2 linked regions of the Rhinolophus ferrumequinum genome follow. The protein of the gene in region 1 interacts with the protein of each later gene in a pairwise test. Links are inferred from orthologs where the notes say so. Each region holds a gene or a part of one and is shown in the gene's direction. Other genes may lie near its edges.

Evidence for each region.
Region 2: the proteins of FOSL1 (region 1) and USF1 interact in binary tests that used the Homo sapiens proteins (3 or more experiments, as listed by UniProt). The link is inferred for Rhinolophus ferrumequinum from reciprocal best matches to the Homo sapiens genes FOSL1 and USF1.

The regions. Positions count from the first base shown.
Region 1 is NC_046294.1:5,926,454-5,942,160, forward strand, and holds FOSL1 (fos-related antigen 1), read left to right. Parts: upstream 1-7,204; 5' UTR 7,205-7,973; coding exon 7,974-8,066; intron 8,067-10,055; coding exon 10,056-10,253; intron 10,254-11,979; coding exon 11,980-12,087; intron 12,088-12,480; coding exon 12,481-12,891; 3' UTR 12,892-13,559; downstream 13,560-15,707. Other genes in the region: CCDC85B (coiled-coil domain-containing protein 85B), read right to left, coding at 14,427-15,035.
Region 2 is NC_046305.1:2,244,484-2,260,801, reverse strand, and holds USF1 (upstream stimulatory factor 1), read left to right. Parts: upstream 1-7,429; 5' UTR 7,430-7,567; intron 7,568-8,316; exon of another isoform or gene 8,317-8,406; intron 8,407-9,143; 5' UTR 9,144-9,228; coding exon 9,229-9,236; intron 9,237-9,612; coding exon 9,613-9,662; intron 9,663-9,754; coding exon 9,755-9,870; intron 9,871-10,189; coding exon 10,190-10,291; intron 10,292-10,503; coding exon 10,504-10,699; intron 10,700-10,910; coding exon 10,911-10,998; intron 10,999-11,132; coding exon 11,133-11,191; intron 11,192-11,275; coding exon 11,276-11,370; intron 11,371-11,586; coding exon 11,587-11,715; intron 11,716-11,876; coding exon 11,877-11,966; 3' UTR 11,967-12,597; downstream 12,598-16,318. Other genes in the region: ARHGAP30 (rho GTPase-activating protein 30), read left to right, coding at 1-45, 190-297, 861-988, 1,458-1,629, 1,709-1,812, 1,893-1,970, 2,519-2,920, 3,793-4,058 and 1 more; TSTD1 (thiosulfate:glutathione sulfurtransferase), read left to right, coding at 12,880-12,949, 13,158-13,280, 13,694-13,856, 13,944-13,995.

The DNA.
Region 1 (15,707 bases):
TGTAGTTCTCCGTGCCCTGGCTCCTCCCAGGCTAAAGGGAGAGAGCTGGTTCCTACAGGGAAAAAAAAAAAGAATCAGCTGAACCGGCAGAGGCCAGGAGAGGGCAGCGAAGCATTCCCGCCAAAATTTTCCTCTCTAGGGCTTTGACTCCTTTCCAAACCCCAATCCTTTTCTCCCGAGTCAGAGCCTCCCTTTCCTGTCTGCCAACCCCCCTCCCCGACACCACACACACTCAGACATGCACACCCAGGAGCACGCGTGCACACTGAGAGCTCAGCCTCCAGGCCCCAGAGCCTGGCTGATCCTGTTTCCTCTGCCCTGGGCCAGGGTGTTGGAGGGGAGGGGAGAACTGTGGCTCCATGGGGCATGGCTAAGGGCCCCACAGAGGCAAGCTGTGCCCTATCTGGATCCCATTCACAGGCTTCATGACTCACCCCCTCGCCCCCCATGATTCAGTTTACACGGGTGCCAGGAGGTACTCCCAGCGAGGGTGGGGCAGTTTACTGGCCCTGGCCAGACCCGCCAGCCTTTCATCCTAGGATGGGAGAGTCCAAGAACTGGGTGACAGGCCCCAACTGCCCTGGGCCCAGGCCTTCAGGGAACAGGAGTTGCTCCAAGAAACTTCCGGACCAGGCTGAGCAGGCAGAGCCTTCCTGGGCACCGACAGCAGAGAACTTACTGCCCTCCATTCAGAGGAGAGGGTCTACATGGCACAAAACATAACATCAAAAGAATTCTCATTAACATTTATTAATTTCTTTTTTTTAAAAAAAAGATTTTATTGGGGAAGGAGAACAGGACTTTATTGGGGAACAGTGTGTACTTCCAGGACTTTTTTCCAAGTCAAGTTGTTGTCCTTTCAGTCTTAGTTGTGGAGGGCGCAGCTCAGCTCCAGGTCTAGTTGCCATTGTTAGTTGCAGGGGGCACAGCCCACCATCCCTTGTGGGAATCAAACGGGCAACATTGAGGTTGAGAGGACGCGCTCCAACCAACTGAGCCACCTAGAAGCTCAGCGGCAGCTCAGCTCAAGGTGCTGTGTTCAATCTTAGTTGCAGGGGGCGCAGCCCACCATCCCTTGCGGGAGTCGAGGAACTGAACCAGCAACCTTGTGGTTGAGAGTCCACTGGTCCATGCGGAAATCGAACCGGCAGCCTTGCCTTTGGCATTAGGAGCACAGAGCTCCAACCGCTGAGCCACCTGGCCGGCCCCAACATTTATTAACTTCTTTTTTTTTTTTTTAAGATTTTATTGGGGAAGGGGAACAGGACTTTATTGGGGAACAGTGTGTACTTCCAGGCTTTTTTTCCAAGTCAAGTTGTTGTCCCTTCAATCTTAGTTGTGGAGGGCGCAGCTCAGGCCCAGGTGCAGCAGCCATCCCTAGCTGCAGGGGGCACAGCCCGCCATCCCCTGTGGGATTCGAACCGGCAACCTTGTGGTTGAGAGCCCACTGGCCCATGTGGGAATCGAACCGGCAGCCCTCGGAGTTAGGAGCATGGAGCTCCAACCGCCTGAGCCACCGGGCCGGCCCCCTATTAATTTCTTACTATACCAGTCCCACACTGAGCACCATCCATGTTTTATCTCATTTACTCCAACAATCATGAAAATCAGGCATAAACATTATCATATCGTTTTTTACAAATAAGGAAACTGAGGCATAGAGAAGTTAAAGGAATGGCCCAGGTCTCATAACCAGGAAGTGACTCAACCCCAGGCTATCTAACTCCAGACTTCATGCTGTTATCCGCTTGGGGTCCAGAGCTGTGCTGATAGGAGCAGGGATGAAGGGCCCAAGACCTGACCTGCCCCTCCCCCAGTGGATCTCCACTGAAACTTCTGGTTTGAAGGATCACCATATGTAAACTACTAATCTGCGAGAAGGGGAAACTGAGGCTCCAAGAAGGGAAGGGACTGATGTGAGATTGCATAACAAATCAGAGGTGGGCTAGGGCTGGGACAATATCTGTGATGCCCTTCCAGCTGCCTGGGCTGGAGAGGTGGCCAGGGAGGGGAGGAAATTCCAGGGAAGGAGATGGTAACCCAACTCCTTTCCCTCTCTGCAGCCTCAGAGTCCTCATCTGCCTCATGGGGACAAGACGGCCATCAGAGCAGTGTGACATGAGGCTCAAAGGACAGCAGATGGACACTTGTGGGTGCTCAGCCGGCATCTGGAGAATGGGAAGGGTGATAACCAGGCCCTGGAGGCAGCAGCCCAGCCCCCCTCTCACTCTCCTCTTCCTCAGCCCAGGCCATCAAACTCAACTTTGTGTTGTTATCCCAAGCTGTGCTGGTAGGCTAAATGCAAAATCTCCCCAAAAGGCAAAATCTTTAAAAATTATCCTAAGCAGGTTTAAAAAAAAAAAAAAAAGTAATATCCTGCATAGTGCTATGGGACTGTATTGCATAAAGGATTTAATCTAGATGAGGGATTTATGGAAGGCCTCCTGAGGAAGTGGTGGGGAAAGTGAAATCTGCAGGGTGAGAGAGAGTTGGCTGTGTTAGGAGATGAGGGAGGGCATCCTGGGCAAAGGGAACAGCCTGTGCAAAACTGAGAGGCTCAGTCCGGCAGAGAGCCTGCAGCTGGGAGAGTAACTGGAGGCTGAGAAGGGAGGAGCCTGGGCAGGCGGCCCAGGTCTGGAAGGATCTGGAATGCCATGTTAAGGATTCTGGCTGATTCAAGAGACAGACTAATGAGACGTTGAGAAGCTCAGGTTTTGGCCACTGACTGCTTAAGTTCAAATCCTGGCTGCACCATGTCCTCATTGTGTGGCTTGTGGCAAGTTGCTTAATTTCTCTGTGCCTACATTCCCTAATCTGTAAAATGGGTATAATAGTATCATCTATTTCTACAGGGCTGTCGTGAGAATTAATAAATTGCTTTGAAACAGATATGGTTCATAAGAGCTCAATGAATGTGAGCCACAAGTGTTACCCTCTTGGCCTTCTAAGCACCCCACAACCAACATGCAACCTAAAAGAAAACAGGGTGTATCACGCACACCCACCCCACCCCTTCCCAGGCTACAGGGCCTCCTGTGTAGAAATGCAAAGGGTGCCATAGCTTGAAAGGGTCCAAGCCTAAGGGTGAAATGGTCAGAATTTTGAAAAGATTCCTCTGTGAACATTGTCAGGATTTTTAAAATCCCTCAGGCTGCTGGGTGGGCAATGGAAAAAAGGGAGCTGAGCTGGAGGCCTTGGAGAGTGTCCAGAAGAAAAAGGATGGGGCCTGGACTAAGGAGAAAAAAATGTTTGTTGAAGTGAGTTGAAATGTCACCTCCAGATGTGGGGTGACTGAAACGCTTATGCACTGCTGGTGGGATGTGAAACGGTCCAACTACTTTGGAGAACTGTTGGAGAGAATCAAAGCTAAATGTGTACCCTAGGACCTAACAATTCCACCCCTGGGCACATATCCAAGAAAACAGCAGCCTTATTCTCAATAGCCCCTCTGGAAGAGTCCCCAATATCACCATCAGGAGCATGAAGGGAGTGATTGTGGAATACTCGGGCAGTGACATGCTACATACACAGTAATAGGAGAGACCAAGCTACTACTTTATCCAATGATGCAGATGAATCCCTCACACAGGTTGAGGAAAAGAAGCCAGACCCAAGAGAGTGCACGCGGTATGGTTCCATTTCTACGAAGTTTGAGAAGAGGCAAAACTAACCTATGATAATAGAAGTCAGAATAGTGGCTACTTATGTGGGGAGGGAGGAAGTACAAGGAGCTTCTGAGCTGTTGGAAATGTATCTTTTTCTAAAATAAATTTTTATTTTTATTTGTTTATTTATTTATTTTTAAGGAGGGCATTGCTCACGGTGGCCCGTGCAGGGATATAATTGGCAATCTCGGTTATCAGCACCGCGCTCTAACCAACTGAGCTAACCAGCCACCCCAGAAATGTCCTATATCTTGATCAGGGCAGTAGCTACACAGGTTTACATACATGTAAAATGTCATTAAGCTGAACGTGTTTGATGAGTGCACTTTATGTACGTTAAACTTCAATTTAGTCAGCAAACTAAGTATAAGAAGCAAAATTATAAAACTATTAGAAGAAAACATGGGGGTAAATGTTCATATATCTAATAAGGGTTTGGTAGCCAGAATATATAAAGAACTCATAAAATTCAATAACAACACAAAAAGCAAGCAACCCAATTAAAAATGGGCAAAGGGCTTGAATAGACATTTGTTCAAAAAATATATACAAATGCACAACAAGCACATGAAAAGATGTTTATTGATCATTACAGAACACGATTGTTTTTTAAGGACGTGCAGATCAAACACAACGAGATACCACTTTACATCCTTTAGAATGTCTTTCATTTTATAAAATGGAAAATAAGTGTTGGCAAAGATGAGGAGCAATTGAAATCCTCATACATTGCTGATGGAAATGTAAAACGGTGCCGTCACTTTAGAAAACAGTCTGCCCATCGTTACAAGGTTAAACAGAGTTTCCATATGACCCAGAAATTTCACTCTTAGGTATACACCCAAGATAAATGGAAACACACGTCCACACAAACAACACTTGTACACATGTCCATGGAGCATTATTCATAATGGCCAACAAGAATGTCCATCACTTTAAGAATAAATAAACCAATTGTGGTATACCCATGCAATAGAATATTGTTCTGCCATAAAAGGAACAAAGTACTGATACATGCTACAACATGGATGAGCCTGGAAAACACTATGCTAAGTGAAAAAAGCCAGATGCAATAGGTCACATACTGTAGGATCCCATTTATATGAAAAGTCCAGAATAGGCAAATCCATAGAGACAGAAAGCAGATTAGAGGCTACCAGGGGGATGGGGGAGGGTAGAATTGGGAGGGATTACTTAATGGGTATGGGATGTTTTTCTGGGATGATAAAAAAAGTTTTGAAACTAAAGAGAAGTGGTGGTTGCACAACATTGTGAATGCACTAAAGTCCACTGAAGTGTACACTTTAAAATGGTTAATTGTATGTTATGTGACTCTCACCTCAATTTTAAAAATAAACTCCAATTTAAAAAGTGAATGGAAACTGAAAAACATAAACATCACCTCCAAAGCCCTGGGGGCACTGATAGAACCTACTGGGTGCAAAGCACATTCCTCCATTACCTCCTTTCTCCTCACTGCAGCCCCAAGAAGTGGGGATTCTCAGGGGCTCAGAAAAGGAAAGTGACTGAGCCAGGCTCACACAGCTGCCAAGAGACAGTGTCTGGGTCTCTCAGACCTCACAGCCCCCAGACTCCTCTAATCACTGGGGCCCCCTGGGATTCTCGCTTGGCCTCCCTGGGTCGGGGCTGGTGAGGTCAGGGGCCAGGAACGTTTCTGCAGCCACCAGGCAGGCGTTAGTGACTGAGGAGCTTGGAATGTGCTGCCTCTGAAAGGACCTCCTTGTGGCTCCACCGACGGTTAGAGCAGGAAGGGACTTTCAGAATCATGTAATCACACACACACACACACACACACACACACACACACACAGACACACACACACTTGAGACCTGAGCCTGGCTCAGGCACTGCCCCAGGCTGCGTGGGGAGCAGACTGGGTGGTGTTTCTGAAGCAGGCAGATGGATGCCGTCCAGGCTGACCTGATTCAGGCCCTGCATGTGCCCCGACCTGGCCCCCTGTGTCACCCTGACCTGTCCAGCTTGGACTCAGCCAAGGAGTCCAGATATCAGTTAATGAGCGTGTGTGTGCACACGTACGCTGCACGAGGACTTTAGGGTGTGATCAGAGCCCCAAGGGCTCCCAACCCTGGGGTTTTTATTAACATGTGTATTTAGTTTTACTATTTGTCAAGTTCTTACTATGCTGTGCTTACACATATGTGTTATTTCTATTCTCCAGCAACCCTGAGATGTAGTTATTATTATGTCTCCATTTTACAGATGAGCAAACAGAGGCATTGAGAGATTGTGTGCCTCACCTGGGTCATACAGCTGGTGAGCAGCAGAATTCAAACTCAGAGCCCAGAGTTGTCTGATTCCAGCATGTGTGTTCTTTCCTATGGGTCACACTGCCTCAAAAAATCTCTCTGTCTCTGTCTCTGTCTCTCTCTGTCACACACACACACACACACACACACACACACACACACTTCTACATTGCTCATTCTGGTAAATTGCAATTGGTTTCTTTTCCTTTTAGAGAAAGATAAGCATTGAGTAGAACAAGAGCAAGGAGGAGGCACCAGCCTGGTAACCACCTTCTGAGCGCCCAGCAATTTCCAGCTTACAAAGCACTTTCACATTTGTGATCTCATTTGATCCCACAGCAGCCCCATGAGGTCAGCAGGAGGCTCAATTATTCCCACAGGGACTGGGACTCAGAGGGTAGGTGACCAACCACCTAGGGTCACAGAGACAGAAAATGGTAGCTCTGGGACTGGAAGCCCAGGGCCAAGCTAGCCTTCTGGCTCTAAGTCCTGTGTGTAGCCACAAACCCCTGGCCTCTGTCCCCAAAACGGCAGCCCAGGACTCTACCTCCCTGAAGTTTTCTTTCCCTGAAGACAAAACTTGAGCTGATCAAATGGAAGCACCAGTAGAAAGCCAGAGAGCCCAGCTCTCTTTCTGTAGCTGTGTGACACTGGCAGTTCCTTCCTCCCTCTGGGCTTCAGTTTCCTCATCTGTAGAATAGGAGGAAGCAGAGAAACTTTGGGGTGGTCTCAGCACTGACATTCTGCACGTGTGAAAAGGCATCTATGAGGGCTTTGGAAGATCTTGCCTGAACCTGGGCTTGGAGCTCTCACAGCCCTAATTTGGCAAAATGCTTCAGCCACCCGTTTAGTGATCTTAGGCACTTCATTTCAACATCTCTTAGCCTCAGTTTCCCCATCTGCTAAATGGGAGTGATGATGGTACCTACCTCCCAGGGTTGTTGGCCTTTGGTTGTTGATATTTGACCTTGGCCTCAGTTACATAGACCTTTGACATAATCTCCAAACAAAGCTGATGACCACACAGCCCCAGAAGAGCGCGAACAGTATTTAAAGAAGATGGCATTTTTCAGGCCACAGAACTGAAAGGCTCTAACTGCTTAGAGAGGCTCTGAATTAAAAACTTGTTATAGCTCCTGAAACTATCCTGTGAGCAGCACAATTATATTGCCTCCTATTTGTGGGTAGTTCAAAGCATTAACTTGTTCACTGCAGGCATTTAAAATATACCACCACTTTTGTAACCCCGGTTTGTCATTTATTCACTTTTCGATATACTTGAATCTTAAAACAATGCCAGTAGAAGTGCCCCCACGCCACGACAGGAAGTGTTGGATGGTAGTAGTATTGTTCCTGGCATGAAATAAGCATCCAGTGAATAATAACAACAATAATAGTAATAGTAGTAGTAATAATTATAGTAATATCAATCATATTCAGAATCCCCTTTAGTTTCCAGACCCTTTTCACATTCTTCATTCCAACTCCCACGGGCAGCAAGGTATCTATGTGAGTATTTCTTCCCATTTTACGGATGGAGAAACCGAGGCCCTACCAGGAGGTGAGAGGGCGCGGGCGCAGGCTCGCTGTCTGCGCCTGGTGGCCGGGCGGGACGGGGCGGGGCCCTGGATGCTCGCAGGTGCGTAAATCTGCGGGGGAATCCTCGGCTCCGCCCGGGTGCGGCGAGGAAATTGCACCATGTATGGGCAGCTGCGTCAGAGGGGGCGGAACCGCCGCTGTCGCTGGAGGACGCCAAGTCCTCCCTTCCCTCCCCCCCAAAAAAAGGCTGCTACGGGACGGTAGGAGGCGTCGAAAAGTTCGGGGCGGAGTGGCAAAAGTCGGTGCGCCTGGAGAGGCGGAGCCCTGAGGTGACCCGCACCGCTGCGCAATGCCCCCACCCCCGTCGAAGTGGTTCAGCCCGAGAACTTTTCATTCATAAAAAGAAAAGACTCGGCGCGGAGCGAGTGAGTCAGAAGCCAAGCCGCCGACGCGGACCCCACAGTGCAGCCAGCCCAGGGCATGTTCCGAGACTTCGGAGAACCCGGACCGAGCTCCGGGGCCGGCGGTGCGTACGGCGGCCCGGCGCAGCCCCCGGCCACAGGCCAGCATCAGGTGAGGGGAACCTGATGCCTGGGACGCTAAGGTCCTCTGCCCCACGCTCCGGACTGGGACGGGAAGCAGGAGTAGGGACCGGCCCTGGGGGCCGTGGTCGTGGGTCCTGCCCACTCTTCGTGGTCCGCGGGCACTTTCCCTCACAGCCCCACGGAACGCGCGCGGCGGGCGGAACAAAGATCTGCACACGTCCCCTCTCTTGCCCCCTTTACCGTAGCTACCTGTCCTTCGGTCTCTGTTAACTTCTTTCTTTCCTCCTCTCCGCCGCTAATTTCTTTGTCACCTGAGTTAGAAGGGGACCCCGGACACCTGGGTTAGTCCTAGCCCTGACAGGGTCACAGGGTCTCATTCATCTCGGACTAAATTCCTGGGAATGGGATCGGAGTCCGAGCTGCGACTGAGATGTCCCCACACAGGAGGGAGGCGGGATCCATCAGCAGGCTAGCCTTGACAGACTGGGAATCCTCCGCACTCTCTGTGACCGTTTGTGTGTCTGTCCGTTTGTCTGTCCCTCTCTACCCGGTAGCCAAGTCCCTATCCCCTTCTCGGCGCAATGCAGTCTGGTGGGCTCCGGGACACTGGTTCTTGACCTCTTCCTTTACAAGTTGGGGCCAGTGGAGACCGCGAGGTGCCGGGACGTGCCAGGGGTCATGTGGCGGGTAACGCCCCCATCCCTGACTTTCGGCACCGAACGGCGCCCGCTGGGGGTTGGGGGGACCCGGGAGACAGCAGGTGCCCATTTCCTGTCGAGGGGCGGCGAGCACGTGTCGCTAGGGGAGGGAAGGAGCGGCGTCCGTTCCGCCGAGTCACGGCGGCCGAGTCACGGTGGGTGACTCACCCGGGGCGCCCCTCCCTTCCTGGCCCGGAGCGGCGGGGGCCCGGACAACCTCGGAGCGCGAGATGCCCCCGGCGTTGCCTCAAGACCGGAACTGGGGTCACTGGGCCACTGGGACTTTAGCGTTGGGCCGGGGACACCGCTGTACGGACTTGCCTGGGCTTGAGATGGCGCTTCCCGGACGACGGGGCGCCCACACCCACAGCCCAGTCCCAGGGCTTGACCTCAGTTCCCCTCCCGAACACTGAGCCCCCATCTCAACCCATTCCTCACCTTTCTGACTGAAAGATACCTGGAGCACAGACCGTACAGCCAGGCATGCTGGGCGGTTTTCACCGCATTTACCGTATTTCACAGAATCTAAGACCCTATTCTTTTAAAACCCATCATTATTTTGTACCACTAAATTTCTTTAAAAGTTGCCAATTAAACTATGCTTTCAGATCAACTAAAGGGTACTTCTTAGCATCAATGAAATGCCATAATCCTCACCTATGACAATATTAAAACCGAGGAAACTGAGGCACATTGAAGTTAAATAACTTGCTCAGAGTCACAGCCAGTAACCGACTGAGCTAAGATTAGAATTGGGACAGCCTGAACCCAGAGCAATGTCTCTTGCCCCCCACAACCCCTAGTACCTGCCACTTACCAGGCTCTGTCACACACATTATCTCACCTGATTCTCACAGCCACCCTCAGAGTTAGGAGCTGTAATTATCCTCTTTGTGCAAATGGGACTCAGGCAGGATGCAGGAGTGGGTAAGAGCCTGGCTGCCTGGGCCCAAACCCCACTTCCCACTTACCAGCTGTGTGTCTATAGACAACTGTTTTCCTGTCTGAAAATGAAGATACTGTTGTGCAAAGTATATGAGTCAGTATTTGCAAAGTGGTTGGGACAGTGCCTGGAATTCACACTTTATAAGTATTAGCTCTGATGGGAAAATGGAGGTAGAAAGAGGTTATGTGACCTGCCTAAAGTCACACAGCTCACGAGTGGGAATTTGTCAGTCAGTCTCTCTGACTGCCAAGCTGTGCCCTTTCTGGTCTCTCAGGGGCTGTCTTGAGGATGGACAGAAGTGTGGCTTCTGTGTACCGGAAGCCCCTCGATCCACACAGACCTCACCCCTGGCCTTCCATTTCTTATTCCTCAGAAGTTCCACTTCGTGCCAAGCATCAACGCTGTGAGTGGCAGCCAGGAGCTGCAGTGGATGGTTCAGCCTCACTTCCTGGGACCCAGCAACTACCCCAGGCCTCTGGCCTATCCCCAATACAGTTACCCACAGCCCCGGCCAGGAGTCATCCGGGCCCTGGGGCCACCTCCAGGGGTGCGTCGCCGGCCCAGTGAACAGGTAAGGAACAGAGGCTTTGCACTGGTTTTGATGCCCTCAGGGGTGCTAAAGTGCACAGGACAAGCTCTTGCCCAAAAGGAGAATACAGACTTCGAAGGGGGGAGAAGGTAGCACCACTGGTGATTATTGGCCAAGGAGGAAAATACAAGGAATCCCTGGGGAGACCCAGAGGGCAAAGAGGTCACTTTTGGATCAGGGAGGCATAGTAGCAAAGAAGTATGGGTAGGATTTGCATAGATAGAGTTGACATTCCAGGTAGACGGGATGGCAAGAGCAAGAATGGAGATGGAGGTGAGGACATGTAAGGTGTGCATGTGGAAAGGTACATGGACAGTAGTGGGTATCTACCTGTTGATATGTATGAAGAGGGTGGACTTATGCTGCCTCCGTAGCTTGGGAAAGAACAGAGAGGGTTGCCTTTAGCTACTTTTTAGGCCTTTTTCCCTTTCATTTAAAACCTCACAAAAACCCTCTGGGGAATGCGCTCTGGTTTTCCCCATATTACAGCAAAGGAAATGAAGGTGCCGAGAGGTAAAGTCACTTGCCCAAGATCGCACAAGGAGTGAGGAATGAGACAGGTCTATCCAATTCTATAGTTAGATCCTAACCACCAAGCCAGCCTCACCCAGAGCTAAGAGAAGGCTTGAAGCAGAGTAAGCTGGGAATTCTTGCCTCCCCAACCAGGGTTCCTGCCTGCACACTGCTAATAAAGTCCTTAACAAAATACATAAGAGATAGAGTCTTTAAGGGAGGGGCACCTCTTTTCTCTTCCTGGAGCATTTGGTATATGAGACTGTAGTGGGTGAGACTTACACGTTCAAGTGATTGCTCTGACAGCAGGGTAGAGGAGGGGGAAGGAGGCTGGGATCCTGGGAAAGATGCACACTCAGCCACCGGAGGCTTTCCCAGAAACAGAATGGTTGGCCTTTGTGACCAGCGGGAAGGGGACTGTGATGTGAAACCCAGAGGCAGACTCCTGGGTTTTCTTCCTTCAGGGTGACCTTTGATTCTGGGTACTCATAGACTGAGGCTGAGGTGTGAGTGGTGTCCTTTCGGGGGAGGTGCTCTCCATCAGCTGGCGTCCTGCTTCATGTTGAATAGAGTGGATTTTAATTTCTGCTCTAGGGCCACAAACAAGTTATTCATCCTCCCTGGGCTTCAGTTCCTTATATGGAAAGTTGTGTTAAGAATGAATCTACCTAAAGTGCTTAGCTGGCACACAGTAGATTCCCAATAAATAACTACTTAGCAGCACTCATTAGCCTCTCCTAGTGCTTACAGCCCTTGGAAAAGCGGAGACTTGGTTATCAAGAGACTGAAAAGAATAGGGGTCCTTCGAAAAACAGTGGCGGTCCCAGGAGCGCCAAGGGGAAAAGGCCACTTACTTCTAGCTGGGGAATGAGAGAAGGCTGCTTCCCGGAGGCGGAGGTATCTTAATTGAGTCCTGGGAGATGAGGAGGTTTGTAGAGGTACGGGGGAGGGCATTCCAAGAGGGGCATCGCAGAACACAAAAGCTGGGTTCGAGGAGGAAATTTGACTAATGCAAGTTTACTAAAGCGTGTGTGCGGGGAACCGGTCAGGGTGCGATGATACTTAAAACGCAGGATGAGGGCACCCCCGCGCTGCCATGCCTTCCACCAGGGTCCTACCACTGGGTCACCGCACCAAGCAAGTGGCCAACAGCCAGTGGCCCAGGATCCACCTCATTGCTCCCTCAACCCCCCAGATCAGCCCAGAGGAGGAGGAGCGCCGTCGAGTGAGGCGCGAGCGGAACAAGCTGGCCGCGGCCAAGTGCAGGAACCGGAGGAAGGAACTGACCGACTTCCTGCAGGCGGTGAGCATCGGTCGGTGCAGAGGGTGTCCAGGCCCGGGTCCACCGAACCTCCGAGGGGCCCCGGCTCCCGTGAGCCCACGGGGCCCCAGTATATGAAGTCCTCTCCCCCAGCTCCCTGTCGGAGGGAGTCCTTCGGGGAAAAGGACGAGGAAAAAGGGATTAAAAATTAGTTGCAACATGCCTTACTCGGAGCAGAGCAGAGCTGAAGCCTCAGCTGACAATCTCCTAAGACTCCCCCAGCCCGATTGGAGTCGTGCCCCTTTTCTCCCAAGGGCTCATGGGAGTTGTAGTTCAGACTTGTAGACTCCACTCATCCTACCCCAACCCCGCAATTACTACCACCGCGGCTCGGCGCTCATCTTCTTGACTCCTCTCCTGACCCTCTTCTTGCAGGAGACCGACAAACTGGAAGACGAGAAATCAGGGCTGCAGCGAGAGATTGAGGAGCTGCAGAAGCAGAAGGAGCGGCTGGAGCTGGTGCTCGAAGCCCACCGCCCCATCTGCAAAATCCCGGGAGGGACCAAGGAGAGGGACACTGGCGGCAGAGGCGGCACCAGCAGCCCACCAGCCCCTTCAGGCCCTGTGCCTTGTATCTCCCTGTCCCCAGGGCCTGTTCTTGAACCCGAAGCATTGCACACCCCCACGCTCATGACCACACCCTCCCTGACTCCTTTCACCCCCAGTCTGGTCTTCACCTACCCTAGCACCCCTGAACCCTGTGCCTCAGCCCATCGCAGGAGTAGCAGCAGCAGTGGGGATCCGTCCTCTGACCCCCTCGGCTCCCCCACCCTCCTGGCCTTATGAGGCACCTCAGCTCCCCTCCTTGCGGGTGCTACACTAGCCAACATCTCCCCATCCTTTGGTCCAGCTGGCCTGGGCCATATCCTGTGCCCAACCCCAGCAGGTTCTTCTCCATCCCTCCAGATGAGATTGAGCATATTTTGCTTCCTGGGTGAGCCAGCTTGGGGCCACCAAAGCTGCCCAGTTTCTCTAGAGCTGGCCTCTCTAGCACAGTTTGCACTAAATCAAAGAAAAAAGATTTCCCATTTGTGCAAGAGGACTCCTGGCAGCCCCAAAGGACTTTGTAGATTCCTAGAGGTCCTCTGGAGCCCTAACCCCCTCCAGACCACCCCTATAGTCTTCATCACCCTCTTCCTGTGATCCACCCAACCCTACCCCTTGACAAGTGATATGCTACCAGCCTAGAACACTAACTCACCCTGCCCCACTGCCAGCAGCACCAGGTGATTGAATCAGGGCATTTTGCCGGCTCCTCTTGAATGGCACAGCTCAAGAGGGTGCCAGAGGCTTCTGTGATGAGCTGACCTGCAGCCCCCAGCTCTGAGAAGACTTTAGCTCCAGAGATTCCAGGGAATCCAAGCCTCCACCGCAAGGGCAGCTGCTATTTATTTTCCTAAAGAGAGTATTTTTATACAAACCTGCCAAAATGGAATAAAAGGCTTGAAGCTTTGGCCTGGTTTCATTGGAACCCAGAGGCTAAAGGGAGAACATTTGGAGCCAGAAGCCCTAGGCTCAGTCCTCAGCTTCACCGACTCACTGCATCAACGTGGACAAGTTATTTGATATTTCTGGACCTCGACTGTCTTATCTGACAAATGAAGTTACATCTGTTCTGCCTCATCTCCAGGATTGAGAGGAAGAGAGTGCTGTGGGATGCAAGCCAAGAGGGTTGTCATCCTCCTCCTGGTGGGGGCCCGTCTAGCTCCTGCGTGTGCCACAGGAGGGCGCTGTTATCGCTGTTAAGCCCCTTCCAGCCTCAGGGGAGGTGGCTGAGTGGCTTGTAGGCCCCCAACACCTGCTTCCTGCCCCATTGTCTTGGACAGGAAGGAGCCGGGAAGAGAGCTGGAGCCACTTCAGGGGCTGGATCAAGGCCTGGCCGGGGCTTGACGGTGGTGGTGGGGGAGGTGTTGCCAGTGGCTTACCACGGTCCCACAGCCCGCCTCAGGCTTGAGGTAATGGGAGGAATCAGACACCTTAGTTCTGCAGCCCCTCTGGATGAGAATGATACCCGTCTCAACATCCCCGCCCTTGTCCTAACCTTGGCGAGTCCCAAACAGACGCTGCCCAGGCCAAGGGCTCTGCTTCCGTCCCAGTTTATTAGACCCCACCCAGCCCCCTGCAAGTCCCTCCGCTCCACTTCCAGTCCCCCTGATGCCCTGCCAGGGAGAGCGAGGGCCCTCCTCAGTGCCAGGGTTTCTAAGTCCATGCCTGCGATCGCTCGTGTGTAGCCGGGGAGGCTTCCAGGTCCTGAGGTCCACCGCAATTCGGGAGATTGGGGAGCCATCCCGGCGGGCGTCGGCGCGAAGGAAGCTGCGTCCTCAGTCATCTGGGGAGCAGGCCAGGGGCAACTGATCGGGACTCCCCACGCTGCCAGTGCTGGAGCTTCCATCGCCCAGGTCGCGGGGCCCGCAGGGGGGCAAGGCGAGCTCGGGTGTTGGCCCGGCGCCTGAGCCCCCAGCGCCGCCGGGGCCGCCACGGGGGCCCCATTCCTCGCCCAGCGCCAGGCAGAGCTCCTTAAGTGCAAGGTTCTCCCGCAGCAGCTCCTCCTGGCGGCCCTCCAGCTCGGCCAGCTTCTGCCAACAACCGCCGAGGTCCTCGCGCACGGCCCGGGATGCTTGGGTCCCGAAGAGCTGCCACTGGCGCGCGGCGCGCCGCCCGCGCTGGCGCTCCGAGTCCAGGAAGCAGCATAGGTCGCGCAGCTCGCGGTTCTCGGCTTGGAGGCGCCGGTTGAGCTGCTTGAGCTCGCGGATCTCGCCCAGGTGACCCTGCAGCTGCCGATTCACCTCCTGCATGAGGCGGCCGCGCTGCACCAGAGCCGCCAGGCGCGCCGCCTCCTCCCGCCGTAGGCGCCGCACCAGCTCTTCCTTGCCCAGCGCCGCCATCTCCTCGTCCGTCAGCTCCTCCAGGCCGCCCACCTCGGCCTCCATGGCTGCTCAGGCCTCTGGAGCATCGCCTGCCCGCCGCCGCAGCCCGGGAGCCCCACGTGGAGCCCAGCACCTCTCTGGCTCCGGCTCCTGCTCCGCGGAAAGCAGGCTGTGGCAGGATAACATAGGTTGCTGCAACCGCGCGGGGGTGGGCACGCGGCGTGGCGCGCGCCGGGGCGGGGACGCGTTAAGGAAGAACAGCCAATCCAGGGAAGCCTCCCCAAAAGCGGTGGGGCCTGAGCTCTGAGAACGCCCCTTCCCCGCCCACTCCCGACCGCCGAGTCCCAGATTCTACCCGACTCTGGATCCCGGTGTCCTCGCACCCCGCTCCAGTCAACCCAAAACGAGGCGCTTCGTACCTCCCAGTTTCAAACCTCCTTGAGTTCGAGCCTAGGCCTCTCCGCTCCTGAGACCCAATTCTCCGGAGTGGTTCCTGGAACTCTCCCGCCCACTCCCCTACAGACCCAGACGGATCGTCTTTCCATCCTTCCTTAGCTCGAACTCGAGAGTCTCGGCTCACTGAGCATCGCTCCCGGCTCCTCCGACCCCTAAGTCCAAACGTCCTGGCTCACCATCAGCCTACCCTCCCTGCCACGGAGCGTTTCCTGCCCGGGAGTGGGGAACGGGGTGACATACAAGGGATTCATTTGTTCAATAAACTTTTATTGTGTGCAA
Region 2 (16,318 bases), on another chromosome or scaffold:
CAAGATCCTAGAAGTGCTTCGGGAACTCCCCGTCCCAAACTACAGGTGTGTGTGGCCCCCCACCCCACCCTGACGCCTCTACACAGCCCAGGCGCACGCTCCTCCTGGCGCCAGCTCCCAGGCCCCAGCCCCACGCCTGCCCTGTGTGGCCCTGTGTGACCCGCTGGCCCGTGGTGCCCCTTTCTGCAGGACCCTGGAGTTCCTCATGCGTCACCTGGTGCACATGGCCTCATTCAGCGCTCAGACCAACATGCACGCACGCAACCTGGCCATCGTGTGGGCTCCCAACCTGCTGAGGTGGGCAGTGTGTGGGGACGGCTCCGGGAGGGCTGTGGCTGTGTGGGTCCACTGGAGAGGGCAGAGGGGAGCTCGCGGAGCCCGGTGAGAAACGCGGAGGTGCAGGGTCACCCTGAGTGGGGTGGCGCTCACCCCGTAACCTGCTCTGAGTGTGGGCAAAGTCCCTATGGGCAGCCCTTTGAGTATCATCACAGTGTCACCGAGCTCAGGGACTTGAACAGGACAGGTCCTCGTCAAGTGTTTGTTGGGCAAATATCTTGCAGTCTGTTGGAGAACTGGCCTGCATATCACTCTTTATGGTGCAAGGCAGATTGTGAGAAATCCCGATATTCATTATAAACAAGGCACCCTGGGTGTACGAGAAGGTAGAAATTAATTGAGACGAGGATGTCCAAGAAGGCTTCCTGAAGGAAGTGGCATTTGAGACTTGAATCGTGCATATGGTTTAAGAGAAGGAGATGGCTCTAAGGGCATGCAGGGGAAAGGGTGTAAAGTATGTGCAAGGAGAATTCAGGGAAGGCAGTGTGGTGGGGCTGGGGGAGAATAACTCCACGTCTCCACAGGTCTAAGGATATAGAGGCTTCAGGCTTCAATGGGACGGCGGCCTTCATGGAGGTGCGTGTGCAGTCCATCGTGGTCGAGTTCATCCTCACGCACGTGAAGCAGCTCTTTGGGGGTCCTGCCCTCTTGAGTGAGTGTCCTTCCTGCCAAATCAGCACTTCCGTCTGGGAGTCGAGTCAGAGCCATAGGAAGCCTCAAAGGGGCTCTAGTTCAGTCTGCACGTTTTACAGATGAGGAAACCGAGCCTTGCAGGGAGGTGGTGCTTCCGGCCACCTCTTCAGGGAGAGGGCCTGGAGAGACTATGGTGCAGTCAGGACTGGAGCAGGCTGCTCTCGGTCTGGGCATAGCTTGACTTCTTAATCGCCATCCTGGCTCTCAAGCTGGTGACTGATCATTGTCACGCCAGCCCACCAGGCCAGTGTCATTGGGATCTCCTGGCCATTTGTCCTGGAAAGCTCACTCCCTCTTGAGGGGCCAGACAGGGCTCTCCGGGCATACCCGTAGCCTGGTAGTGGGTGAGTGGGCAGGTAGATGAGCTGGGTGCCTGCAGCCCTGTCTTGTTTCTGTTCTTGGCCGGTCAATCCCTCTTCTTTTCCAAGGCGGTGAGATGGATATCGGATGGCGGTCCCTTCCAGGGGCCCGGGCGTCGGGCAGCCCTGAGGACCTTATGCCCAGGTCCCTGCCCTACCAGCTGCCGAGCGTCCTGCAGGCTGGGGATGGGCCTCCACAGATTCGGCCCTACCACACTATCATCGAGATCGCCGAACACAAGTAAGGCCTCCTTCCTGGACCCTCCTGCCCCACACTGACAGCCAGGTGCCAACCCCAGTGATTTCTCCATCCCTTCCAGGAGGAAAGGGTCTTTGAAGGTCCGGAAATGGAGATCGATCTTCAATCTGGGTCGCTCTGGCCATGAGACCAAGCGTAAACTTCCGCGGGGGGCTGAGGACAGGGGTAAGTCTGGGGAGGTATGGGGGAGCTGCAGCGCGGGTGGGGGGGCCAGGCCCTGCCTCTATGCTGTCCCTGCCTTGCAGATGACAAATCCGATAAGGGGACTCTGCGGCCAGCCAAGAGCATGGACTCACTGAGTGCTATGGCTGCGGCCGGTGATGGTGAGTATAGGTGTGCATTCCTGTGTGTCTGCGTGTGTGTGTGCACGTATACCCATGTGTGCATGTGCGTGCGTGCATGTGCTGTGTTATTAACAGCACGGGCCTGTGAGCACCTGTGTGGAAGCGTGTCTGTGAGGGTGTCTGTAAGGGCATAACAGTATTATGAACAAGATCACTGTGAATTCATGTGTGTGTGTGAGTGTGTGTGTGTGTGTGTATGTGGCCAAGTGTGCTCACTAACTTAAAAACTATGTAATGAGCGCCTGCTACATACCAGCCACCAAGCCAGGTGCTGAGTTAACAGTGGTGACTTCATTGCCCCTCTGTGGGTGTCCCGAGAACAAGCAGAGACAGAGTGGTGTGGGCGTCACGGCCCGTGACTATCTTCAGGCAGGGAAAGGGGTCCTTGGTATGTAAGTTCAGGCAGGTGACCTTGGGCCTGCTGGCTGTGGAGTGTTTGCTGGAGTGGCCAAGGGAGCTGGGAGCATTCCTGAGGCGTGCAGGTCCATTGCAGCTGGGGCTGTCGCCCACCTCTGTCCCCTCCGCAGAGCCAGAGGGGCTGGTGGGAGCCAGCAGCCCCCGGCCAAGCCCGCTGCTGCCTGAGAGCTTGGAGAGTGAGTCTGTGGAGGCAGCAGACGGTGAGCCAGAGCCGGACGCAGAGGCCCCGGGCAGCAGCAACTCTGAGCCCGGCACGCCGCGAGCGGGGCGGTCAGCGATCCGTGCTGCAGGCAGCAGCCGTGCGGAGCGCTGTGCTGGTGTCCACATCTCAGACCCCTACAACGTCAACCTCCCGCTGCACATCAGCTCCATCCTCAGCGTGCCCCCAAACATCATCTCCAACGTCGCCCTGGCCAGGCTCACCCGCGGCCTGGAGTGCCCTGCCCTGCAGCCCCGGCCAAGCCCTGCCTCTGGCCCCGGCCCCGGCCCCGGCCTTGGCCCTGGGCCCCCAGGTGAGGACCCAGGGGCCGCCCAGCACTGGGAGAGGGGACTAGAACTCCAGGTGGACCTGGGACGTTGGGGACATCGGAAGCCGCAGGCCTCGGGCTTTGGGTGGGTAACTTCAGCTGGCTCCCTGGTTCAAGGCTGGGGGATCCAGTGATATTTATTATGTCTGAACTTGTGTGAAACCCACAGAGAGGGGACCGGTCATCTACCCAAGGGTGGGGTCTGTGTCAGGGGTCATCGAGTCCAAGGTGGGGACGTGCACTACGTCATGGGAATAACAGTCATCACACTAACTCTAACAGCTGACATTTATCAAGGGCTTATCACACACCGAGTGCTGAGCTAAGGGCTTTGCAGGTGTCAGCTTATTTCGTTTTCTCATAATCCGTGACACAGGTGTTATCCTGTTACAGCAGCAGGACCTACCTGAGACTTGGATTAAGCAATTCGTTACTGATTTAGGTGGGAGGTGGCAGAGCTGTGGTCTGACCTTTGCTCTGACTCCACTTCCTCAAGAGTCACTGGTGACAAGTGCTGGGGCATACAGGGCAGTGGGTAAGGACGTGGGCCGTGAAGTTGGCTCATGTGGGTTCAGATTTCGTCTGTGCTACTTGTTATGTGACCTGGGACAAAGTGTTGACTCTCTCTCAGAGTCTCAGTTCCCTCATATGTATAATGGAGATAAATGTCCCGATAGGCTGGTTTTGTGTGGAAGGTAAGACAGCATATTGAAAAATGCATAGATGGTGCTTGGCACCTGGTGGGAGCCCAGTAACGGCAGCTGGGAGCCAAAAGTTCCGGTGCTGGGCCCACGCTGCAGCAATTGCTAGGAAGGGCTTTGACCTTTGTATTCCTGGGACTACCTTTCTTCCGACAGACGAGAAGTCAGATGCCAGTCCTGCCCCAAGCCCCCTGGCTGGCTCAGACCCAGAGGACGTGGCCGCGGGACTGGAGGACTGCCTGTCTCAGGAGGTGCAGGACTCCTTCTCCTTCCTCGAGGACTCAAGCAGCTCAGAGCCCGAGTGGGTGGGGGCGGAGGATGGAGCGGCAGCCAAGGCAGGAACTACAGCAGCAGCCTTCTCCCCCGGGGAGGACGATCCTGGGATGAGCTACCTGGAGGAGCTCCTGGGAGCTGGGCCTCAGGTGAGGAGGAGCTGGGCCGGGCTTGCGGGCGGTAAGCTGGCCGCAGGGGAGGCAGGACCAGCTGGTCCTCAGACAGTGCTATGCCCACAGGTGGAGGAGTTCTCTGTGGAGCCGCCCCTGGATGACCTGTCGCTGGATGAGGCACAGTTTGTCCTCGCTCCCAGCTGCTGTCCCCTGGACTCTGCTGGCCCCGGGCCTGAAGCAGAGGAGGAAAATGGGGAGGAAGTCTTTCTGAGTGCCTACGATGACCTAAGTCCCCTTCTGGGGGCCAAAACGCTGGCCTGGGAGGGTCCCGGCAGTCTGGAGGACGAGGCCACAGGGTGCAGGACTCAGGAGGCTCCAGGGCAGGCTGAGGGACGGCAGGCACACGGGGAAGTTGGGGACGACAAGGAGGCTGAGCCTGGCAGCAGGTGGGACGTCAGGGAGGAGGCTGAGGGGAGCCCAGAGAGGGAGCTAGAGGCTGCAGAGGCAGGTGAGGACGGAGGGGAGGCTGGGGGAAGCCGGGAGGTGATGGTCAGTCTGAGTGGGAAAGACACAGAGGCCATGGGCGAGGAGCCCAAGGGTCAGCAGGAGGAGGAGAGTCTGGAGGAAGCTAAGGGTGTGGAGGACACAGGAGGGGAGCAGGGGAAACACCAGAAGGAAAGGAAGACTGAGCGAGAGGAAGAGGCTGAGGAAGGAGAGGAAGCCCAGGTAGAAGCTGAAAGGGACCCAGAGCTCGAGGCCCCGGAGGACAGAGGTGCTGATGACAGCCAGGGAGCTGGACACAAACAAGAGGCTGAGGGAGGCAGAGAGGACGAGGAAGAAGTCAAAGGACAGAGGGAGAATGGGGACCAAGGGGCAAGAGAAGACGAAGGAGATGGTGAAGACGGCAGAAGTGCAGACGAATCAGCTGAAGGAGGAGTGGGGCAGGTCAGCAAGGAACGGGAGAGTGGAGACGGAGAGGCGGAGGGAGACCAGATGGCTGGAGGAGAACATTTAGAAGACGACTTCCTCTTTGAAGGGCCTTGTGGAGAGTCCCTGGAGGTTGACGGTGCCAAAGAGGGCAACGCCCAGCCCTCTGAGATGGAGCGGGCAGCCCCACAGCCACCTCGGCCCGAGGAGATGGAGCCTGAGGGGCAGCCCAGTCCGGAGGGTTGCAGCCTGCGGCCCTGTCTCCTGGGCCCAGCCGGTGGTGTGAGCATGCGCCTGGCTGCCACCCTGGTTCAGGTCCAACAGGTGCGCTCCGTGCCAGTGGTGCCCCCTAAGCCACAGTTTGCCAAGATGCCCAGTGCAATGTGTAGTAAGATCCACGTGGCTCCTGCAAACCCATGCCCGAGGCCTGGCCGGCTAGACGGGACTCCTGGGGAGAGGGCTTGGGGGTCCAGAGCCTCCCGCACCTCCTGGAGGAACGGGGGCAGTCTTTCCTTTGATGCTGCTGTGGCCCTGGCCCGAGACCGACAGAGGACTGAGGCCCAGGGAGTTCGGCGGACCCAGACCTGTACTGGGGGAGAGGACTACAGCGTCCTCCCCAGAACCTCCCCCTGTAGCGTGACCCCTGCCCATTTCCTTCGGCCCCTTAGCTGCTTGGAGCTCCCATCTGAAGGCACAGAAGGGTCTGGATCCCGGAGTCGGCTTAGCCTGCCCCCCAGAGAAGCCCAGCCCCCTCACCCCTTTCTGCCCCCACAGCGTCGAACTTATGCATTTGAGACACAGGCCAGCCCTGAGAAAGGCGAGGGACTGTGACGGCCAGAGCACTGGGCAAAGGGGACAGTAGTTGTCCTGAATCTATGGGTCCCTGACCAGCTGTGACTTCTGCAGCCTGAGCAGCTGTGGAGCCCACCTCTATGGGTGCCGGCCCTCTAGCTTCTCTCTGACTGTGGGAGGCACTGCCTCGGTTGGTTTGCCTGAACTTGGCTCAGACACAAAGCGCTTATTCCTTAGGAGATCCCCAAGAAAAGGTCCTGTTCCTAGGGAGTGAGGTCACTGGCCAGAGGGAAGAAAGAGCAGGCAGAACACTTAAGAGGCTTCTCAAAGTGAAGACTGAAGGGGGAACTCCAGCCATGTTTCTGCCTCCTCTGAGGCTGTGAACTTCTCTCCGTGGAAGCCCCCAGCGTGGGGGTGGGGAACAGGGCCAGCTCCGAGCCTTTCACACACAAACACTTGTAGGGTTGCTCAGCTTGTTCTGTTCTTGGACCCTGTATCCCTGCTGGCCCTCTTAGTCCCTGAGTAGGAGTGACTCCAGCAGGCTCTTTGAAGACCTCGGTGTTTGCTGGAGGGACTGGCTCCCTGTCTATCCCCTTCCACCCCTGCCTCTGTCCCTTGAAAGAAGAGGCCTGTCTGGCATCTCCTTTTTCCTTTGGAGTCATTTCCTTCTATTCCAGGGAAGGGGAATTGCTTCCCCAGGCAGGCTGGGGCCTCCAGTCCCATTCTAAGGACAGGGTGACGGTTCAGAATACAAGTTGTATTTTTACATGGAAACAGTGTGGAATTTCATTATTCTTATGCGAGTCTCGGGGGATAGGTATGACAATTTCATAGTTTGGCCAATTGTTGTCGTCCTGTTGTTCGTGAGCTCTTCCTCAGTTGCCATGGAGACCTGTGGCTAGAAACCAGAGCTGGGTTCTTGGCGGTCAGGAGATGGGGAAGAGAAACCTGCGTTTACATAACGTTCCCCACGCGCCAGTGAAGGCTGGGTCTCCGGTGCGCACGGAGTCTCTGCCCTCGGCTGTATGTAGCTCTGTCGGGTGGGGACTGGCCTCTCCATTGTAGTCGAGGAAACTAACGCTAACGAAGCCCAAAGGCCTGCCAGCGGTGTGGGCGGTAACGCGCGGCAGACGCGGCTGGGACCCGTGGAGTCCGGCTCCGCTCGTCCCGTCACGCCGCGCTCCTCCGAACCCGACGGGGGCAGGGCGGGTGCTGACCGACGAGGACGGGAAACGAGGTCCCCGTCACTGGCTTGAGCCTGAAAAGCTGGGGGCCCGGGGACGGGGGTGTTTGTGTGCAGCGGTCAGGCCTGAGCGCGCCCAGCCACGTCCTGGCCTCCAGCAGGAAACACTGCACGTCGTGCCCCGATTCCCCCTTGGCCGCCCGGGCGGCCTCGGTAAGGACGGCGCGGCGGCCACGCCCGTGCCCACATCTCTGCGGGCCTCACTCCCTCTCCCGGAACTGAACGAAACGGCTGCGTCCAACAGGAAGAGCGGAGCACAGTTAGGCGGCTCCCTCCAGCTGTCGCCGAAAGTGCAGCCTCGCGTCATCCTTCCGGGTTCCCGGGAAGTCTCCGCCCCTCGGCCCCAGCCACGCCCCCGCGCGACGCTCCCCCCAGCAGCCCTCAAGGCGCAGCGAAGGGAAGTGGGCAGCAGCTCCCGGCTGGGCGGGCCCACGGGGCACTTCCGCCCCTCAGCCGCACTTCCGCCCCTCAGCTGCATGGCCGCGCGCCGGAGCCGCGCATGCGCAGCGGTCCATGGAGCTGCCGGAGTCGGGACAGGGGCTGCTCTGTCGGGGAGAACCGGCGGCTGAGGCGGCCTTGGCCCGTGAGTGCGGGGCCCGCGGGAGGCTGGAGGCTGGGTGGGCCGGCCAGACAGGGCGGCCGTGGCTCTGTTTCCGTGTTTCAGGTCTGGGGACGCCTGGGGAAGCCTTTGTTTTGAGGGAGGGGCCGTGCCAGGCTCTTTATCTCCCACCCGCTTTGTGGGCCGACTCGCGCCCGCCCCGCGCGTCCCGCCCTGCGCGCCCGGCCGAGCGCGGCGCCCTCTCGGCCGGCTCGGCGGGGCCGGGGCCGGGGCCGGGGCCGGGGCGCGCGCCTGTGGCCGGCGGGCCTGCGGGAGACGCCGCCGCGCTCCCCGGCGGGGTCTGCGCGCCGGCTGCTGTCGCGACGGGACTGTTGCCCCTTTGTGTCCGGACCGAGTAGGGCTCTCGCTGGGCCCTCGTCGCCCGAGCGTGCACGGCCCAGCGTCCCTTCCTGCTCTCGGTGTCGCGTGCCCCTCGTGCGCAGGAAATGCTTCCGCACGTCCCGCGAGGATGTGGATGCGCAGCCCGAGCCGGCTGCTGTCCTCGGCGGCTGTCCCTGGCTGACAGCTGTGGGCGCTGGAGACGCCTCCCGCGCCCGGCGCTCGTTCATCGCCGCCTCCTGCAGTCAGCGCCGCGAGCCTGGAGGGGCACTGTCCCCGCAGGTTCCAGGACGGAGAAGCAGGTGGTCCCCAACGCCGGCGCCACTTCCCCTTGGGGACTGGGCGCTTCTTGCAGCGGTACTTCCTCCGGACAGTTTCACTTTCAGTTCCCTCTGCTTTTTTGTTTTGTTTTGTTTGGTTAACACTTTCCTTGGATCCGGGCTTTCCAAGGGTCATCCGCTGAAGATTTTCCTTGGATAGGAAAGGTTTGGGGGACCTAATGGGTAGAGAATTTACACAAAAGTTACCCTTTCATGTGGGATTTATTTTATTGGTTTGTACCATGTAGCTGTTTCTTTCTGGAGGCATCTGTCTGCTCAACCCGTTGTTTTTCCTGCCCCCTGGCTGGGTGTCAGGGTCCTAAGGCAGGCACTTTGTGGATGGATTCCTCCCTCATTCATTGTCCCTTGTCTTTCCCAACCCTGGCCTGGAGGTTTCTCCCTTCTTGCTGAGGCTCCATTGATTTGGAGTTGTCATGGCAACATTGTAGCAACTCTGTTGTTCTAGGCTCGGTGAATAAAATACATGGGGCTTGAAGAGGATACACTTGGGCTTGAAGAGGATACACTTGGGCTTTTGAATCTTTAACCAATAACAAATGACATAAATCTGCACACCCCAAAACAAGAGCCCTGTCACTGGAATGGGGCCCGGGGGGCCAAGTGTGGCATTGATAATTCGGGAGGGTTTTCCAACGGCAATGGGGTTCAAGTTTTCCCTTCCTAAGTTTGAGAACAGACATTTCTTGGTTCACTGTTTATACAGTTGCTTTTGCAGTCACTGTAGCCCCTTCCCCAGCATCAGAATGGAGGAAGCTGATTGTGCCCTGTTCTTGGCTGTGTCTTCATGGAGCCTAAGTTCTGGATATGGGCGGGTGGGGTGGGGTTGGGAGGAAGGCTCTTCAGTTTCCTAGAGTCACTGCAAACTACCTGATTTCTACCAGGACTTAGCACTCAGGCCTGTGAGTCAGGAGATACAAAGACTTCCAAAGAAGGACCAGTTCCTCGGATGTGCCCCCTCACAGAGAGATGAAGGGGTGAGTGAAGAAGAGGTAGGGTCTGGGATGGGGGACGGGAGGCCTAGAGAATGCAGAATGGCTCAGAGCACTGGCTCTGGAGCCAGGCAGGCCTGGGTTCAGGTTACGGCTCCATCACTTACTAGCTCTGTGGCTGCCCTTCCCTTCTGTAAAATGAAAGTAGTGTTACCAGCGCCGCTCTTGGTACTGAATAGGATGGTGCCTGTTCAGTGCTTAGCTCGGCTTTCATCCGCAGGGAACACTCAGTAGATTCTAACCTAACCTCGATCTGTGGGGAATGCCAGTGAGCTTGGGAGCCACATGTTACTGGGCCAGTGAGCTTTACAGTCACTCCTCCCCTGATCCTCCCCATGTCTCCCCATGCCTCCACAAACAGGCAGCAGAAAACAGCTGAAACGGAAGAGGGGACAGTGCAGATCCAGGAAGGTGAGTGGTAGAAACAGAAGTGAGCTGGGACCAAGAGCTCATCATGGCCGCTCTCTCTCCCATGGGCTACCTCCTGTGCTCTTGTAATTCAGGTGCAGTGGCAACTGGGGAAGACCCAACCAGTGTGGCTATCGCCAGCATCCAGTCAGCCGCCACTTTCCCTGATCCCAACGTCAAGTACGTCTTCCGAACTGAGAATGGGGGCCAGGTAAGGGAGGGGGCCAGGTGGCTGCAGGTGTTCCTGGGGGTTGGGATTGAGGGAGGTCGTTGAACCTGTCAGGGGAGACCTGGCTTGGAGGATGAGGTGAAGCTGTGGACTATTTAGGGGGTGGGGGTGGAGCATGACGTTTGCAGTAGAGATTGGTACGGGGTAGGGCTACGCTGAAACCTCCGTGTGGGGGCAGGAGGGGGAGAGGCTGGGTCTGTGTCCCTGAAGGGCTCTTATTCTATCCACGAGAAGCTCTGTGAGGGGCCCCGGGAGCCCTAACACGTACGCTCTCATCCTCTCTTCCCCTCCCTGCTTCTAGGTGATGTACAGGGTGATCCAGGTGTCCGAGGGGCAGCTGGATGGCCAGACTGAGGGGACTGGTGCCATCAGTGGCTACCCTGCCACTCAATCTATGACCCAGGTACAGGGGTATGGGTGGGGGAGGGAACTGGCTCTATGAAGAGTGAAATGAAGAAGGGAAACAGCACGGGGGCGGGGGGGGGGGGGGAGGAGGCGAGGCCCCCAGGGCTGCCTGTGCCTGTCTGGATGCCTCTCCCTCAGGGTCGCTACAGAGCAGTTCCTTGGGGGGTTATCTGACTGTCACTGCACTTAGTTCTCTTGCTCCCCTTGCAGGCGGTGATCCAGGGTGCATTCACCAGTGACGATGGCGTTGACACAGAGGGCACAGCTGCTGAGACGCATTACACTTACTTCCCCAGCACAGCCGTGGGGGATGGGGCGGCAGGGACGACATCCGGGAGCACAGCAGCTGTGGTCACTACCCAGGGCTCCGAGGCACTGCTGGGACAGGCGACCCCTCCCGGCACTGGTGAGATGCTGTGAGGTGCTGGCTGGAGGGGCTGGCATGGGCTCCCCGTGGCCCCTAAGGATCACTGAGGCCTGCGCAGGTGGGGGGTCTGGGGCTGCCCTTCCAGCAGGAGGAAGTTCTCTCTTGTCAGGGGCGGGTCCCAGGGCCTTGGCCTCAGCTGGGTGACGTTTCTCGCCCCGTGTCCTTATGGCACCCACCTGCACGCTCACAGGTCAGTTCTTTGTGATGATGTCACCACAAGAAGTGTTGCAAGGAGGTGGCCAGCGCTCCATTGCTCCCAGGACCCACCCTTACTCCCCGTGAGTAACCCTGTCTCTTCTCAGTTCCGTGAGTGGTCTTAGTCCCTGCCAAGTCTTGTGCGATTCCTGACCCCACAGTCCAATCTTATTTTCTGACCTTCCATCACTCTGGCTGCCCTGGGCTCCGTCGTCAGGAAGTCAGAAGCTCCCCGGACAACTCGGGATGAGAAACGCAGGGCGCAGCATAACGAAGGTAGGGGTGCTGGGCTCGGGGACAGCGGTGATGTCTGAGAGGGGGACCTCTCGCCGCTCAGCTTGTCCCCACTTTGCCCCACAGTGGAGCGCCGCCGCCGAGACAAGATCAATAACTGGATTGTGCAGCTGTCGAAGATCATCCCCGACTGCTCCATGGAGAGCACCAAGTCTGGCCAGGTCATGGCGGGACCCTGGCGGTGGGCGGGAGGCCCAAATTCTGTCTCCTGGGCCTGTTCCCAGATGTGGTCGCCAGTGGGCACTCACGGCCCCGCTTTCTTCTTATCTCTGTCTGAGGCTCCTCCGGGGACACCGAGGTCCAAAGTGTGAGCGTGCTTCTGGGACGCAAGCCACGTGTCTTATCCTACTCCTCGTTTTGTTGGCTTTTTCTTGCAGAGCAAAGGTGGGATTCTATCCAAAGCCTGCGATTACATCCAGGAGCTTCGGCAGAGTAACCACCGGTTGTCTGAAGAGCTGCAGGGGCTGGACCAGCTGCAGCTGGACAATGACGTGCTTCGACAGCAGGTAGATTCCTGCCCTCAGTGCAGCCCCCTGCGACCCCATAGCCTCTGGCCCAGTTGGGGACGCTGCACTTCGTTCTCATCTTTTTCCCTTCAGCGGTGGACATCTCAGTAAGTCAGTGCCACGCGTCTACCCCTCCCCTTATTGCCTCCTCCTCATGGTAGGTGGAAGATCTTAAAAACAAGAACCTGCTGCTGCGAGCCCAGCTGCGACACCACGGAGTGGAGGTGGTCATCAAGAGTGACAGCAACTAGCTGTAGGCATCCAGGGGCTGTGGGCCCTACAACCCTGTTCCCAGGACTGCAGACAGCCCAGGAGCAGCAGGCTAACCTGGGCCCCTTTCCTTCACTGCCCACTTCTGGCACGGACGGGACTGGGGGAGCTGAGAGGCGTGTGTCCAGAGGCCCTGTGGTAGCAGCCTGCAGGGGTGTGACACATGGATGTGTCCTGACAGCCTCGCCCAGCCCCACCGCGCAGCCCTGGGCCCTGGTGCCCCTCCCGCACAGTGCGTGTGCCGGCTCCATGCTGGGTACTGGACACACGGAAGTGGGGGGTCGCCCAATGCTCGCTCACAGTGCCAGCAGAGGGTCTGCTGAGCAGTGCTGCTCCGGCTGCCCCGGGACTCGGGAACTTGCACTGGTTCTCCCTCCCCTGGAGGTCAGAGGTGCACCTGAGGATGCTGGGGAACGGATGCTGAGCAGTGGCTGCTGCCCCAGGAGGAGAAGACTGGCCCTCAGCCGAGGCCTATGCAGGAGCCTCTGGAGCCAGGGAGAGCCACAGGCCGGGGCTCAAAGGATCTTCCCCTTCCTGGGGACTGTGTCTTTTTTCCCTTTTCTTTCCTTTTTTTTTTTTTTTTTTTTTTTAAAGATAAAATATTCAGAGCCACAGTTGTCTCCTGTTTTCCGTTCTTTTTTGGGCCCCTGGGGCGGGATGGAGGGGGCACATTGCGCTTTGACCAGTGAGGGCTGGGCCAAGATTCCACCGTGTGCTGCTCCTGTGCTCGTTACTCCGAGTTCTAGTACATGGGCCAGACCAGTGGGTCGTCACATACGCCAGGATTTCTCTGGTTGGCGAGTGTTAGCTGCACTGCGAACCAGAGCTGCGGGCCGGTGCGGGAGGCTATGCCTTGCTTCCGGTTCCGGTCTCTGTTCCCGGGGGACAGGAGAGATGCGGGCGCCCGTGGGCCGGCCAGGCAGCATTCCTGCAGCTGGCGATCGCGCGCGCACCATGGCTGCAGGTACCTGAGGGGGCCCTGGGGTCGCGTCCTGCCCTCCGTGTGGCCCCGCAGGAGGAGTGTAGTGGGGTGGGGGGCGTGGCTGAAGTCCACAGGTGCCCCTCCCAGTTGGGATGCCGCGGGGTGGGGTGTGCGACCTTGTGGGGCGCCGTGCGGGGTGGGAGCGCGGCAGGCCGGCCCCTCCAGGCATTCGTGCCCCCTTCCCCCGCAGCACCCACCGTCTTGCTCCCAGAACTCCGCTCGCTCCTGGCTGCTGGCCGGGCCCGGCTTGTGGACGTGAGGTCTCGGGAGGAAGCGGCCGCCGGGACCATCCCCGGGGCGCTCAATATTCCGGGTACCGGATTGGGGGGGGCGCCCGCCACGTGGTGGACCCAGGGGGTCTTAGCCGAGGGGCCTCACGTAGGGTGGTGCGGAGAGGCTCTGCCGTCCCTCCCCCCCAGCCGGCCCTTCAGGTCTGAGAGGTGACAGGCGGCGGGGAGGGGCTCCCGAGGCTGCGCCGCGGAGTCCCGCCTCTCCTCACTCCCCAGAAAGCGGCCTCAGGTCACAGGTGGTTTGGCCGACCTCCAGCGCAGGCCGGCGGCATCCTATCCTTGAGGTTGGGGGTGGTGGCCGCCATGTTGCTTTGGGGGTCCCTCGAGATTTATTCGACAACCAGGACCCAGTCCTTCCAGGCAAAACCTCTGAACCTGAGACCGCCAAACTGCGACTTTCCGACTTTCCGTTCTGTCCTCTGACTCTTCCTCCCAGTGTCTGAATTGGAAAGTGCCCTGCAGATGGAGCCCGCTGCTTTCCAGGCTTTGTACTCCGCTGAGAAGCCGAAGCTGGAAGATGACAATCTCATTTTCTTCTGTCAGATAGGCAAGCGTGGCTTGCAGGCCACCCAGTTGGCCCAGCGCCTTGGATACAGAGGGTATGGGGAGGGTGGCTGCCGGTGGGGGGCAACTGGGGACTGACTGTGCCCGGCCTGCCCTGTCCTCACCCGGTCCTGTCTCCACAGGGCTCGCAACTATGCAGGGGCCTATAGAGAATGGTTCCAGAAAGGAGGTTAGGTAGAAAGTGGCTTATGGACTGTGAGCCCAGCCCCAAGAGACACCTAACTGAACATGAGGAAGAGGCAGACTCGTTGGGGTGGGCCAATGCCTGTACACGCAAAAGCATCCAATAAAGAGCATTTCATCAAAGCCCTGGAAGCATCCAACTTGTCAGGTGAGTTGAAAACAATTCTGATCTTAATCTAGGTCTCACTTCAACCCTGAGTACTCCTTCCAGCTTCATCTACTCCCCCACCCTACACACACGAAACAAAAGAAAAAATCCCAGCAGTTTCCTGCGACTACAATTCTCCTTCTACAACAATTGTTTTCAGTCCCGGATGCACATCAGAATCACCTGGTAGCATGAAAAAAAAAATTGGGCCCCATCCAGATTTGGAATCTTGGTGGTGAGATCTGGGCACCCCCAAGTGAGCCCCTCGAGTGATTCGAATATGTGTCAGGAGCAAAAACCACTGCTGGAGACCAGAGAGCAGCACACTGGGGCCCCTGGCCTCATGTCCACCACTGGTCATTTACATACTGACTAAGGCCACTTCTGTGCCAACATGGCAGAATACTTGTAACAGACTTTGCGTCCTTCAAAACCTGAGATGTTTACTATCTAGTCCTTTCTGGAAAGTGTGCCTACCCTCGCTCTAGACCTTCAGGTCCCCAGTCCTAGCTGTTGGCTGTGGAGGTGGACGCTGTCCCTGTAGATGTGTTGAACACAGGCTGTAGGTGTGCGGGCTGCTGCTGTGCCACCAAAACCAGGACCCAGTTGTCATCAGCACTGCCCTCTGATCCCATACTGGGGATAAAAACATAACTGGGTAAAAATAATGGAAAAGCACATGTTTACTGAGGCAAAATAACACTACACGGTAGGTGTATGCGTATAACTTCCCGCTAGCATTGTGACAGTTTGATGCTTATCTCTCCATGCTTTTAAATATTTTAATGGCAGAGTTCTGACTTCTTAAGTTTGATTTTTTAAAAAAAGTGTTGTTCCTTTCTTTGTGGAAGAGAGAGTGGGGTCAGAGATGGACCCAATTTTCTGATTTTTCAAGTTTCTGAAGAAATTCCTTCCGACATTTCCTGCATTTCTTGCACTTCTCTCACCTCCTTTTCCTTCTGCTTCCTTCCCGCCCTCCTTCCCTCCCTTTTTTCCTCTGCCTTCTGGACTGTACCCAGCCCTTGTACATCTTTTCCCTCACAGTCTACACAATTGCCCACTCTGGTCTAATCAGTACAGTACTGTCTTAGCTTAGCTGGACATTGTGGGTCTGGAGATAAAGTGAAATAGGTGAGAGGCTAGCCCAGGGTCTGATAAATAGTGGGTGTCAGTTACCGTTTGCTTCTCAGAATGCTTAGGAAATTTTCCTGGGGTCTAATTTCCCTCTTTGAGTCTTAACTGTTCTAGTCTTCCCTTTTTCCCTCCTCAAGTATAATAATTCGATTATGTCATTTCTTTAGTTGAGGCATAATTTACTTCTAATAAAAGCACAGTTGTTAAGTGTTCAGTTCATTGAGCTTTGACAATGGTATGCTTACGTGTAACTCCAAGCCTAAAGAAGACACTGAAAGCCCCAGAATTTCTCAGGCCCCTCTCCAGTCAGTTACATCTTTAGCCACTTTCTAGGCCACCATTTGCCATCTTCTGTCCCCATAACCTAGTTTCCCAGCTTCTTCCTGCTTGCCAGCCTGTGCTGTGCTTTGTGCAGTTTAGCTGATGGAGGTTCCAAAGGATCCTGGGAGTAGAGTGAGCTGACCCCCTCTCTGGCTTGATCATTCAAAGCAGGTTCCTCTTTCTCCCTCATTGTTGGGTCCATAATCTTGATAGGTTGCCCCCACCCATTCCCTGGCCCTCGGTGCTCTTTCCATTTCCGCAGAGCTGGCTGTTTCAGCAGATACGTCTTAAGAGCCAGTGTCCCAACTCGGTGACATCCCTGCCTTCTGTCTTCCTTTCCAAACCACAGCACCAATCCTGATACCCCCCGCCCCGCCCCCAGGCTTCTGCTCCCTGTGTACCTGTGTAATCATAGCTCCCACATGACATGTTCATGGTTTCTCTCGCAGTCAATTGTGAGCTCTGCACAGGCAGGAACTGCCCGTGTTTCCTTACGTCTAGTGCCTCAAACACGAGTTCTCAGTAGTTGTTTCTGGAGCTCGACTAGCCTCCCAACTTTCAGAATCTTCTAATGTAAGCCTTTCTGAAACATCACTGCCTGAGCAATCTTGAAGTAACATTTTTATCTTATCAGTGCTGATCACTTACAGTAGGTCCTTGTTGCCTAGACACTCCAGCATATACCTGGGCCTGCCCTGTTATGTAACCTGT